Linked DNA regions of Mus musculus: regions 1, 3 and 4 are each reported to be linked to region 2. The links are microRNA targets in miRTarBase. Many come from high-throughput screens and were not tested one by one. Region 2 holds a microRNA gene; each other region holds the end of a gene's coding sequence.
The links. The annotated mature microRNA mmu-miR-539-3p reads CAUACAAGGAUAAUUUCUUUUU and lies in region 2 at 1,004-1,025, shown strand. An mRNA with a match to its seed (bases 2 to 7 or 8) in the 3' UTR can be bound and repressed. Matches are read on the target gene's strand: a 7mer-m8 pairs with bases 2 to 8, a 7mer-A1 pairs with bases 2 to 7 and ends in A, and an 8mer does both.

Region 1 (3,133 bases), not on the chromosome of region 2:
ACGGTTTGGCCACCTGGACTTTGCTTCTCCCTCAGTGTGGCTTATGATTTGGACATATTTTCTCTTCTCCCTAAAGCCTGAAGGAGAATGATTCCGGAATGCTTTATATGGTATGAGCCTACAGGGCATTCTCTTCATTGCTTTAAGAAGCAAACCCAAGTCCATGAGGAGAGGAGAAAGGGGCACTTCTCAACACTGTCTCTTTCACACTAAAGTATAGCTGAAAAGAACAGAACTCTTCATTTTTTACAAGGAAAAAAAATGAGGCTTCTGATCTTTACTTAATTTATTATCAGTATCTATTAAAAGATCCCATATCCTGATGTTAGCTGAGAGACTGAAATTTTCAAGGAAGGATCCGGTGCTATGGAAGCTACCTACACAAGCACAAAGCACACTTTGTCTGACTTTGTTTTGTTTTTTAAAACAGGATTTTATGTAGCTCAGGCTAGTCTCAAACTCATTCTCCTCCTGCTTGTAGCTACCAAGTGCTAAGATGCCCAGTGTGTACCAACAGGCCTGGCTCTGTGTGCATTCTGGCTGGTTTCTACTAGATAAGTTACTGACTTACACTGCTCATTGTAACTCTCCTTTAAAGCTGATGGGAAATTGGTATGGTTAGACTAAATCATCTGAAAAAAAATGTATTTTTTTTCCATTTTTTATTAGGTATTTAACTCATTTACATTTCCAATGCTATACCAAAAGTCCCCCATATCCACCCACCCCCACTCCCCTGCCCACCCACTCCCCCTTTTTGGCCCTGGTGTTCCCCTGTACTGGGGCATATAAAGTTTGCAAGTCCAATGGGCCTCTCTTTCCAGTGATGGCCGACTAGGCCATCTTTTGATATATATGCAGCTAGAGTCAAGAGCTCCGGGGTACTGGTTAGTTCATAATGTTGTTCCACCTATAGGGTTGCAGATCCCTTTAGCTCCTTGGCTACTTTCTCTAGCTCCTCCATTGGGAGCCCTATGATCCATCCATTAGCTGACTGTGAGCATCCACTTCTGTGTTTGCTAGGCCCCGAAAAAATGTATTTTTATTGACAGAATTTACGTGCAGGACAAACACTGAATCTGGCATTCCATTATACTTCTTAATACTTTTATTTTGAAGTTGTACTACTCAATTTCTGGGAAGTTAATGGAAATCAGCAATTCTGTGTTAAACTTTGATACATTATTAAAAGTAAAACAGGTTCAAGTAAAAGTAGCCAGGATGCTGCCTGCTGGGCCCAACAATTACAGATAGTGGCCATGGATAGTGGGGCAGTGACGCAGTGATACTGCCTGCTGATTCTGCAGCCACCAAGGTTGCCTCTCTGCTGACCTTGACCCTGAAGTCCTCATGTACATTTGCTTTGTCAGACTGAGAAATACATATTTTCTAGCATCAGCCTATGGATAGCCAAGTCTAGACTCCAATTCTTTATACCACTTTAGAATATGCCATTTAATGACTTAATGCTCTGGTGACTATATTATGAAAGAAATACACGCAAACAAGGCTAGTCGTAAAGTGGCTTTAATTTTCATCAGAGACTAAAGAAACAGCTTTCCTGTGAAAGTAAAACACACTACATGATTTTTAGGAATTGATATGGGTGAAGGGATAACCCTACCAATGGGACAGAGCCGGTGTTAGCCATGATTTGAATATGCAGTTATTTCGGTGTTAACAAGGTAACAGAAAGGGAGATGGAGTCGTTGATATGGTAGTCAATTTAGAATGACTCTAGAAATTTAGAACTAAATACCATGAGTAACTAAAAAGACTTCAAACTTCTTAGATTTATATTCAATAAAAGTTCTTTTTAAAAAAAATAGCATCAAGAGATTCTACATTCTTGGAAACAAGAATACTACTTAATCTATAAGTATCCAATTTTGCATATGCAATAATGGATATTCAAATTTCAAATAGCATAATGTACCTTCTCAGTAATTAAGAAAAATGTTAATTCCCTGAGATACTTCTAAAGATTTATGTATACAAATACATATATACATATATTTTATGCATACAAGTATGATATCTTCATGCACACCAGAAAAGGGTATCAGATCCCATTACAGATGGTTGTGAGCCACCATGTGGTTGCTGGAATTGAATTCAGGTCCTCTGAAGAGCAGCCACGGCTCTTAACTGCTAAACCATCTCTTCAGCCCAGAGATACAACTTCTGAATGAGATGCTCATCACTTGTCGCTAAACAAGTCAGGTGCTTAATTCTTCCAATAAACTCAGTTTAAATTTATTGAAGCACACTTTGTCTGACTTTGTTTTGTTTTTTAAAACAGGATTTTATGTAGCTCAGGCTAGCCTCAAATTCATGCTCCTCCTGCCTGTCCCTACCAAGTGCTGAGATGCCCAATGTGTACCAGCAGGCCTGGCTCTGTGTGCATTCTGACTGGTCTTACATTTTAAAACTATATATAAAATACATAGTTTTTAAAAGTTACAATTTATAGGATGCATTCCATTATTAAATATTGGCATTGGGAACCCTTTTGTTGAGACAGGGTCTCACATAGCCTAGGCTAGCCTCAAACTTGCTATTTATAACCAAGGATGGCCTTGATCTCTAGGTAGCCTGCCTCTACCTCCTGGTACTGACATTGCAAAGATGAGCTACTACGACCAGCTGGGACAATTTTTTTTCTTGTTTTACCATTAAATATCTGTGAATATTACCAAAATTATAGTATGCTTAGCAAAACAAACAAACAAACAAACAAACAAACAAAAAACCTAAGAAGACAAATGCTTTGGTCCTTGTATACACTTTGTGTAAATAACAATGCCCTTTCACCATTTCTTTTCCTGTAATTCCATGATTCTAAAGATGATTATGTTCACTTATACATAACAAAAAGATTGCATCTGCTTGGGAATGTAGCTACTCAATTTTCTTCCGATTTCTTCCATTTTTGGAATCCCACATGATTACAATATTAAAGTATACCAAGAAGAATACAAAATTTACACAGGAAACAAAACATATAAGTACAGGAAACAAGTCTGGTAATTTCTGAGGAGGGTCCAGTGTTACACTCAAAATCGTCAGGAGGACCATGGTGATGACTGAAGAAAGAAACTGTAAGGGAAAAGAGAGAATCACTCACCTTTGC
Region 2 (3,133 bases):
TTGATGTGCTGCCGTGCCGTGGTACCCAAGTGTGCATGTTCTTGCTTGGTGTGTGTGACCCAGTCTGCTAACGCTCAGCGTCTAATTCGTCCCCAGGACCCTACCTGGAAGACGTAGCACGTCTACCTGAGGCGGTGGCTTTGCTTTCCAGGCCGAGCTTTGGTACTTGGAGAGTGGTTATCCCTGTCCTCTTCGCTTCACTCATGCCGAATCGTACAGGGTCATCCACTTTTTCAGTATCAAGTGCGCAGACTCTGCAGCCTGGCTTCCTGCGCCTGGATCCTGCCACTGCCACTTCCCATCACACATCCTTGGACAAGGGTGTCGCCGTGTTATGCTCCTTGTCTCGTGTGTCACTCGCGAGTCCTCTTGGGGTCCAATGCATATGGCTCTCGGGGGCTGGGAGAGATCAGGCTCTTGTAGGGACTAGGCTCATTATTGACCATGTGCCAGCCCAAACTTTTGTCTGCTGGGAGCTGACTGCTGGCAGCTATGATGGTGATATACAAACCTCTCCTTGGATTTGGGAGCCCATGTTGAGACAGACATTCTCTGTCAGTCATGTGAGTGGGTGTTGGAGCTTAGAGTTTGTGCTGGACTTACAAGGTGGTGCTTGTGACTCGGCAGTGACATCATTTCTGTAGCAGCTTCTAGAACAGAAGACCCCATGCCGGGGGTCAGCAGGGCCACCCACAATGCTTGCTCCACTTAAGATGGACACTGCCTGGCTTCTTGACCCCAGCCACCATTACCCTTAGAAGAGGCTAACGTGAGGTTGTCATGCTGAGTCCTGGGGAGTCATTTCTATAGCCTCTCACCTCCCTGGTGCTTAGAATGGCCATCAGTAGTACTGCATGCATGGTGCATGTATGTATTGGGTGCAGCCACGTGTGAGGAGTGGTGATCACTCCCAAGAGGCCTATGGATGCTGGTATTCCTGCTGTGCTACTGTTTCATACTTGAGGAGAAATTATCCTTGGTGTGTTGGCTCTTTTGGATGAATCATACAAGGATAATTTCTTTTTGAGTATCAAATACTGCCCTGGTGGACTTCCGGGATGACGAGACGGTTGTTTAAAGAGGTGCCTGGTGCATGATGCATGGGTTAGCCTTACCTGGGCACAAGGCAAGAGAGCACAGAACTGATGTGTAAGAGCTACACTCTGATCCCAAGTCAGGATCTTGCTTGAAGAGTCCAGGGGTTCCTACGTGGCTTGGTCATGGTGAGATAGCACAGTTTTCATGACTTGGCAAATCGTTCTTTTTTTTTTTGGATGGGCAGCCAATCTCACAGATAGTCACTGGGGTCAGGCCCCGGCCCCTTGCTCAAGAGTGTGACTGGTTCCACAAGCATGTGCTTGAATGACAGAGGCCGGCGAGCTGTCTGGTCTGGATCGTGAGAGGAGGTCCTGCGGTTTTTCTCGGTGCGGTGGTTCTCTGACATTTGCAGGGTGGCTATCAATAGTGTGCTCGCCATATTTATGGAGATTAATTGGGACGACCATTGTTTGCCCCATATCTGGATTTGCTTCCGAAGGTCCTAGAGCACAGTGGTGACTTCAGCTAATGGACATTGGTACCTGCTGCAGGAGAGGGAGAATTTATTGAGGCAGAGTAACCTCAGAAGGCACCCCCCCCCCCATGTACTCTCACAGTGACAGCTTTGAGGTGGCAACAGCTTTGGTGGCTTGCTTCTTTGTGCTTGGTCTGGAGAACACTGAGAATAACTCACCTGTCTGTTGTTGCTGTTAAGTCTTAGTTCAGAGGAACTCCTTGAGAAGGTACTGGGTCAAGCATCTCTTTAGGTAGACAGAACTTGGCCAGGGTCTTCTAGGTCCAGCACCCACTCTCCTCAGCATCCATTCTGAGCATAGACTTCCTGTGGTTAATACAGGTGTTAATAAGGATACTTCCTGCCGCCGCCGCTGCCTTAAGTCACTCTCTATCTGTTCCTATGGCTTCCTTTGGGCTGACTTTTTCTTAGACATACCTGGTCAATAGCATACCATTTCAGCTCATTCCATAATCTGGTGTGTGTGTGTGTGTGTGTGTGTGTGTGTGTGTGTGTGTGTGTGTGCCTGCATGCATGCTTGTACAAATTGTTGGTTAGTGTAGGGCCTCTCAAACTGCTCAACGCTGCTAAGATATTCGTCACCTAGGGATCTTGTTAAAAAGCAGAGTCTGATTGAGGGGCCAAGATTCTGCATTTTTAGCAAGCTCTCAAGTGATGCTAATGCTGCCGGTCCGTGGACAACACATGTAGCCACTGGGGGCTGGAGGTGATGTTGCATGTTCCTTGTAGTGTGTGTGCTCCATCTCCTCCATCCACCCCGCATTATCCATCATGAGTGAGCATTGAGCCAATATGCTACCTTTTGATGATCAAACTGTGGTCAGTTGTGAAAGGCCACCTGCTGTACAAACACCATTATTGATTATTGATTATTCTTTCAAATCAAAGCATGCCTCTATGGGCTTCCCAGATATAAGAGCTACTTCAAGGAGGGGCTGCCTATGTCAGCCAACAGCAGGACTTGTCAGCACCAGGTTATTGGTGACTGAGACCATCTGACTCTGTAACTCTCCATTTCCAGTCAATTGTAAGGAGCACAGTTCTGGAACCACAGCTTCTGGGGAAGGAGGAGTCCTATCTGTCGTATCTACCAGCAACCCTCGACGTTATCGAGAGAGGTAATGCCCATGGTGCCATTGCCCTTCCATGATATTCGGCCAGCTGCTGGCTTCTTGCCATCCAGCTTACCTCTCAGGGAGGACCAGATAGACTTCCATTTTGTTTCTAAATTGACCTGCCTTAGGAAGCTCTTGTGGGAATGAGTTTTTCCGTCAGACCAGATTTTAGCCCTAGGACCAATGTGTAGCAGTGAGTGGTTGCTGTCAGCTCATGTGCTTTCTTACAGACTATGGGAATTCACCTCTCAGAGTCTAGGAATTCAATTTGTCATTGGAAGAATCTTCTGGAAGGAGAGAGGACAGTAGACAAGAGGCCCCGGTTTTCCTGTCAGAGATCTCTGAGAATATTTGAGGTCATTCATGTTCTGTTTGCTTATTGTGAACGAGACACAGTTAGCTTCCTTTTGACTATCAAACTCTGCTTTTTTGAAGGGCCCCCTGC
Region 3 (3,124 bases), not on the chromosome of region 2:
AAGGAAGTGCTGTTTCTTAGGTGGGTGAGCACTTCCTGTCCAGACGCAGAGTTTGTCTTCAAGGGCGATGATGACGTGTTTGTGAACACCCATCACATCCTTAATTACTTGAATAGCTTATCCAAGAGCAAAGCCAAAGACTTGTTCATAGGTGACGTGATCCACAATGCTGGGCCTCACCGGGATAAGAAACTGAAGTACTACATCCCAGAAGTCTTCTACACCGGCGTCTACCCACCGTATGCCGGGGGTGGTGGATTCCTGTACTCCGGCCCCCTTGCCTTGAGGCTGTACAGTGCGACTAGCCGGGTCCATCTCTACCCTATTGATGATGTTTATACGGGAATGTGCCTTCAGAAACTGGGCCTTGTTCCAGAGAAGCACAAAGGCTTCAGGACATTTGATATTGAAGAGAAAAATAAGAAAAATATTTGTTCCTATATAGACCTAATGTTAGTACATAGCAGAAAACCTCAAGAGATGATTGATATCTGGTCTCAGTTGCAAAGTCCTAATTTAAAATGCTGAAATAGACATGAGCTGCATTTCACAGAAAGGCCTAGCCTGACTAGTTCCCATGGTGTGCTCTCACAATAGGTGAGTTCTGTGTGAGGCTATTAGCCTTCATGAGCAGGTAGCCCCTGGGCTCCCAAGCCCTCAGTCCTTCCCTTGCCTTGTGAAGAGGGAAGGCTGAAGACAGCTCAGCATGGCAGGGTGAGTGGTTATGACCCTTCCTCTGGCTGCCGGTCCTCAGTTTCTAATTTGTTTTCTTTCTCCTCCACAATTATGTATGTATGTGTGTATATATGTGTGTGTGTACATACATACATATATATATATGTAGGACACAACCTGGTGGCTTTGTGAAATGGAATTCTATGTATTTTCATAAGATTTTGAAAGTTGTCTAGAAAGTAGACTGATGTCAATCTCCCGTCACCCAGCAGTATTGTCCTTGTTACTAGAAACCGTTACTTCCTTTATGCAAGGAAAGCCACGCAGTGCGTGTAGTTCATCTTGTCAGGGCTTATGGCCATGAGGACAGAGGGGATTTTCTTTTTACTTGTGTTTGGTTTCCTGGGTGGCATCATGGTAGTTAACCTATTTTTAGTATTTGAAGATCATGAGTGTGATTCCCTAATGGCCAACTGGAGACTGAGTAGCCCGACAGCCATGGGTCTGTGAGTGTTCAGAGACTGGGAAGCATTCGCCACTTCTGAGCTTTGGACGTGATTAGTCAGTTAAAACCCCAAGATTCTATTCTTGCCATATTATCACGTATTCCTTAGATAAAATTCTGGGTAGTGACACTTCCCTGTCTCAGTGTAGAAGTGCCTGTGCTTTTATTTATTGTTCAGATCAAACACCAAAACATTTTCTTAAAAAATATTTTGTGTAATATTTTATTTGTATACAGTGTTTGTGAAATATTTAACTAGAGCATGATATTTTATTTTTTCTCATTTTTAATTCTTTGAGAATTTCATACAATGTGTTTTGATTGTATTCACCTCCCCATCTCCTCCCAGATCCAGCATGATGTTTTAAATGTTAAGCTGTAACATGTTAGATAAAGTTAACTCTTATTTTTGAATTTTAAAATTTGGATGGGGGGGTATGAACTGCTAGAGAAAATAAAGTTCTGCCAAAATATTGCATATACTAGTATCTTGTAACATGCTTTCTTGAAATATTTTTGTGCTTTAGAGGGTTCTCACCTGTGCTACAGGGGACTGGGAAAAAGTGGAAATAAAGTGATTGTATTTTTTAATCATCACGTATAATAAGTGATACTCTTTCTGTTCTTGTTTCCCTGTGTTTCATGACATTCTCCCTGGGCTATCTTTCCCAGAAACCATTACAGTCATCATTATATTAACAGTCTGTGTCCGTGGGTTAGCCATCACTGCATCTGTAGTCTTAAAAGCACTTCCCACCTATGTGTGTCTTCCTGAGAGCTGTGCCATCTGGTTTTTTTTGTTTCTGTTTTTGATTTGAGGGGGTCTCTATGGGGTCCTGGCTGTCCTGGGGCTCAGTATGTTGACCAATCTGGCCTGGAATTCCTAGAGCTGCTCCTCCCTCTACCTCCATTGTGATGATGGAATTGAAGACATGCATTCCAGCTATAAAGCACCTGGACCCCCACATCCCAAGCGTCTGCAAGAAGGACCCAGGCATTTCCAACCACGGGTTGCACTTCTTTCTCGACCTGTCAACTAATATACACCTTCATGCCCTTCCTCCAAGGCCTCCCTGAGATCGACCAAACCATTTTACTGACTTGACCCAGACCAAGAAACCCTGGTGTGCAGCACCCATGTCTGCTGCCTGTCTTTATGAAAGGTATACAAAGTAGAAACTCCTATTCTGTCCTTGGATTGCATTGTTTGAGAACATGATCTAAGGTGGCTAGGAGTGTGTGAAGGCAGCTGCCTGCTGGGACTGGGGATCTGCTCAGAACCCCGGAGGAGGTGCTGAGTGCATATGGTTTGTGTCTGAAGCCCAAGGGAGCTGTCTTTTTCTAAGACTGCTTTAGAGATGGTATACTTTCTTACAAAGTTTGTACACTAGCTCTAAAACAAACAGGCTTCAGGGTAACACTGCCACTCTCACTACACATCTACCACAGAAGAAAAATGTTGGTTGAACCATGACAGGTTTTTTTAATTTGATATTACTTTGTGGCTTAAGGTGACTCTAAAGTGTTACCCCACCCCCAACTCGCTGCTTCAGTTTCTCAGATGCTGAGGTTACCAGGTTGTGGCGCCATGCCTAACTGTGGCCATTTTTCTTTTCCCTTTTTTTGCCTTTTGAAAATGCATTCCAGGACCTGGGGTGTAGATCATTTAGTAGAAAGCTTGCCCGTCATGCACAGAGACCTGGAACCAAACCCCAGGACAACATAAACTTGGATGGGGTGTGGTGACACGGGCCTGTGTCCCGGCACTCTCCAGAGGTGGAGGCAGGGCTATTAGAACATCAAGGATATCCTTGGCTACATAGGAAGTTGCATGCTAGTCCAGGGTACACGAGAACCTGCCCTGGTCACTTCCCGTCCACAAAAAATCCCCAGTGATGTTTTGTTTTCTGGTTGCTTGTGCTACGGGAGTCTGTTGTTTATGAA
Region 4 (3,133 bases), not on the chromosome of region 2:
CAAGGCAGAAGTCTCCCAGTCACAGGTGGCAGGGGAGGACTAGGAGGGTGTCTGGGGTAGTTTCATCAGGTCAGGAGAGCTCTCAGGAGCAGGGAGCAGGCGCACAGAGTCCAGGCTTCATCCTCATGGTTCCTTGCTGCCTTCCAGGTTCAACCCTGCAGTCGCTCATCTGCTCCAACGATGCCCTCTTCTACTTTGTCTTCTTCTACCCTTTCCCCATCTTTGGCATCCTCATCATCACCATTCTGCTGGTGCGCTTCAAAAGCCGGAACTCCAGCAAGAACTCAGAGGGGAAGAACGGGGTGCCCCTGTTGTGGATCAAGGAGCCTCACCTGAACTACTCCCCGACTTGCCTGGAGCCTCCGGTGCTCAGCATCCACCCGGGAGCCATTGACTAAAGAGGCTGCCCACTCCCAGCAGACGTTGCCCATGGCAGGGTCGGGTCAGGGGAGCCCTCTGGGCTTTTCCTCATTGCTTCGTGCTCTGTGATTGGACAGGCGACAGCACCTGAACTCTGCAGTTTCTCTGCAGGAGCCAGTCAGACCTGGAACTTGTTGGAAGCTTCCGGTCGAGGTGATGGTTGCCTCTGGGCGGCAGCCCTGGTTAGCTGATCACACCCAGGTGTCATGATGCCAACATCCTAGGTTCCTAGTTTTTGGTTTTGGTAACTTAGTGCGTAGCTCCAGGTGCCGCATCTACTCGCCAATCTAACTCATGTTCTCAGATCGGTGCTATGGGGTTTCCTGTGCTGTGTAATGTACTCTTTTAAGCCCCTTGGGTCCTCTCCTTTTGGATCCCATAATGTTGTGGAAGAGTTTCTCTCACAACTGATAAGCAAGAGGAAGACGCCTTCATAGTAACAAGGATTCTCTTCCAAGACATTTTTGTTTTTGCACATTTGAAAATGCCACCCGTGGATCAAAATATACCCAAACATTTTTTCTTTTTTTTTCTTTTTTTTTTTTTTTTTTTTTTTACTTTCTTAGCAAGACTTGAAAAATATGTGTAGCGTGGGCCCAATTTGTATCTTATCTCTTCCTTCAGCCGGAGTTGTTGGAACCACTTTATAGTCAAGATGAAAGCATTGAATTTCGCTTCAAAGGACTGACTGCACATGTGCAGAAGAAACCCTGCAGGACCCTATTAGGAGCAGATGGTGGCCAGCCAACCAGTCCGTCAGGGAGGCAAAAAGGCTCAGTCCCATCATTGCCAAAAAAGAAAAAAAAAAAAATAATAATAAACGAGCCAACCTGAAGGAAGGGTCAAGGGCTCCAGGCGGCACCCAGTTTCTGAGGGTTGCCCTGATCAAAGGCAATGACTGGGGATGAGGGGGGGACGGGTGGTTGTTGGCTTGGCTTTGGCAAGCTTGGTCTCTTGACTTACCCCTGGGCAGGTAGCTTTCTTCTGTAGGTGCTTTGCCAAATTTTCAAGGGGACATGTCTAGTGAAGCCTGAAGGGGCTGCCCTGAGTGGAGGGAGCATTATGGCCAAAGTGGCCCCTGTGCACAGGCCCAGTGGAGTGTGCTGAGCTGCTACACTGAGCTTAGCAGAGTGGAGCGTGGGAGGGCGTCTTAGAGCCTGGTTGAGAGGTTGGAGGAGTGCTTCCCTCTGTCTTCCTTCCAGTGAGCCTTTCCTCGGAGACGGTGAGGGCATCCTTATCCATCGCAGCTCTTCCCGAATCTCAGTGCCATGGAGATATTGTCCTCGGATAGGACCAGGCACAGCCCTTTGCCATTCTTGTTGTCCCCCTGCTTTCAGCAGACAACTCAGAACAGGAGCTGTCACTTTCCTTTGTTAGAGTGTGTGTGTGTGTGTGTGTGCGTGCGCGCGTGTATGTTTATGTTGTTTGGTTGTACTGGTGGCTTTTAATTTTCAGCCCCCAAATCTGAACTCCACTGCCTCCACTCTGTTAAGCCAGATGCTTAGCTGCCCTGGAGCCTCATCAATTGTAAATCCTCCCTTTTGTCACTCTGAGGGTCTCGTGACCCCTCTCTTCCCCATCCTTCAGTGGCCACATCTTCTCTGGGGAATTTGCATCCTGAGTCCCAAGAGAGAGCCCCTTGGCAAAAGGTACCCAGGATTGTGGAAGTAAATTTAAGGAGTGATTTCTGCAAAGCCTTGTCCTGAGAATAAACAGACAACACAAAGGCTGCAGGACTTCCAGGTCATTGGGCCAGGCTGTTATGGATCCTTCCGAGGAGTCTGCTAGGTGTGGGCCGTGTGCTGAGCAGAGAGGGCAGGAGGCAAGATGCAGCCTGACAATCCTTCCTGGCCCTCTTGTTCTCTGAGAAGTGTCCAGGCAGCGCCACCTTAATCCTCCTGTGCCTGCCCTGCTGATTCTCATTTTTGCTGCACGAACACATCAGAGGGACCAAATTGGCTCAGTCACGAAGAAAGAATGTCTTTTGTTCTGTTCCTTCGATTCATGGGTGTGGGCTCTTGGTGGGTAGTTGCTGACTCCTGAGTTTTAGGCTGAGTCAATGAGGGAAGATTGACGCCAGAGGGCTGGCCTGGATTAAGATTTCAGATCAGCTCTGTAGCAGCAGAAGACTCAAGTAAATATGCAAAGCAACCGCAGGACGTTTGCAAGGAGCAAAGAAATCTATGTCAGTATTTTAACAACCGTTTTTTGCGTGTATTTTCTGCAGGGCTGGGGTATGCAATCAAAGTTTAAACTCTGAGCTTTCTATGAAAACAAAACAAAACAAAACAAAAACAAAAAAACAGAAAAGAAAAAGAAAAATCCAAAACCCTCAGGACCTCTCTGTGGCTGGGTCTATGGACATGTGTTGTCGGATAAATGGTGATGGCGCCCTCAAGTGGCTAGAAGGCTTCACTGCATATTGTCTGTTGAGGCTTTTGTCCTCCGAGATCAGAGTACTCAAGAGAGACTCCTGACATCTGTCCTCTCCAGTGTCACATTTATGAGCATCTCCACTGTGCTAGGCCTGTCCCAGGACACTATATGACCACACCCTCTCTCATCGGTGTGTTTCTGTAGCAAGTCTTCATATTTGTTTCCAACAATGGTGTCTCTGCGTTCATGTTGAAGACAGAGATGGGGTAAGAAGACTATCCGTGCATGAAGTAGAGAACTGTTGGTTTGTTTCTTTTTTTTTTTTTAAAGGAGAAGC

Region 1: the mRNA of Alg6 is a reported target of mmu-miR-539-3p. Seed matches in the 3' UTR shown: 7mer-m8 at 2,024-2,030 and 7mer-A1 at 1,992-1,998.
Region 3: miRTarBase lists B3gnt2 as a target of mmu-miR-539-3p. Seed matches in the 3' UTR shown: 7mer-A1 at 1,408-1,414.
Region 4: miRTarBase lists Igsf3 as a target of mmu-miR-539-3p. The part of its 3' UTR that is shown has no 7-base or 8-base seed match.

The regions. Positions count from the first base shown.
Region 1 is chr4:99,761,837-99,764,969 of GRCm38, reverse strand. It overlaps Alg6 (asparagine-linked glycosylation 6 (alpha-1,3,-glucosyltransferase)), which reads right to left. Exons shown (of 15, transcript NM_001081264.1): 15 at 1,510-3,099. The coding sequence ends at 2,902. Among named protein-coding and RNA genes, the nearest start is that of Alg6, 48 kb to the right of the region's middle.
Region 2 is chr12:109,727,173-109,730,305 of GRCm38, forward strand. Mir539 (microRNA 539) reads left to right here and starts at 957; the gene lies at 957-1,030. It overlaps Mir487b (microRNA 487b), which reads left to right and starts at 161; the gene lies at 161-242. Mir544 (microRNA 544) reads left to right here and starts at 2,153; the gene lies at 2,153-2,230.
Region 3 is chr11:22,833,397-22,836,520 of GRCm38, reverse strand. B3gnt2 (UDP-GlcNAc:betaGal beta-1,3-N-acetylglucosaminyltransferase 2) reads left to right here. Exons shown (of 2, transcript NM_016888.5): 2 at 1-1,782. The coding sequence ends at 528. Among named protein-coding and RNA genes, the nearest start is that of B3gnt2, 25 kb to the left of the region's middle.
Region 4 is chr3:101,459,640-101,462,772 of GRCm38, forward strand. Igsf3 (immunoglobulin superfamily, member 3) reads left to right here. Exons shown (of 11, transcript NM_207205.2): 11 at 148-3,133. The coding sequence ends at 398. Among named protein-coding and RNA genes, the nearest start is that of Gm40109, 47 kb to the right of the region's middle.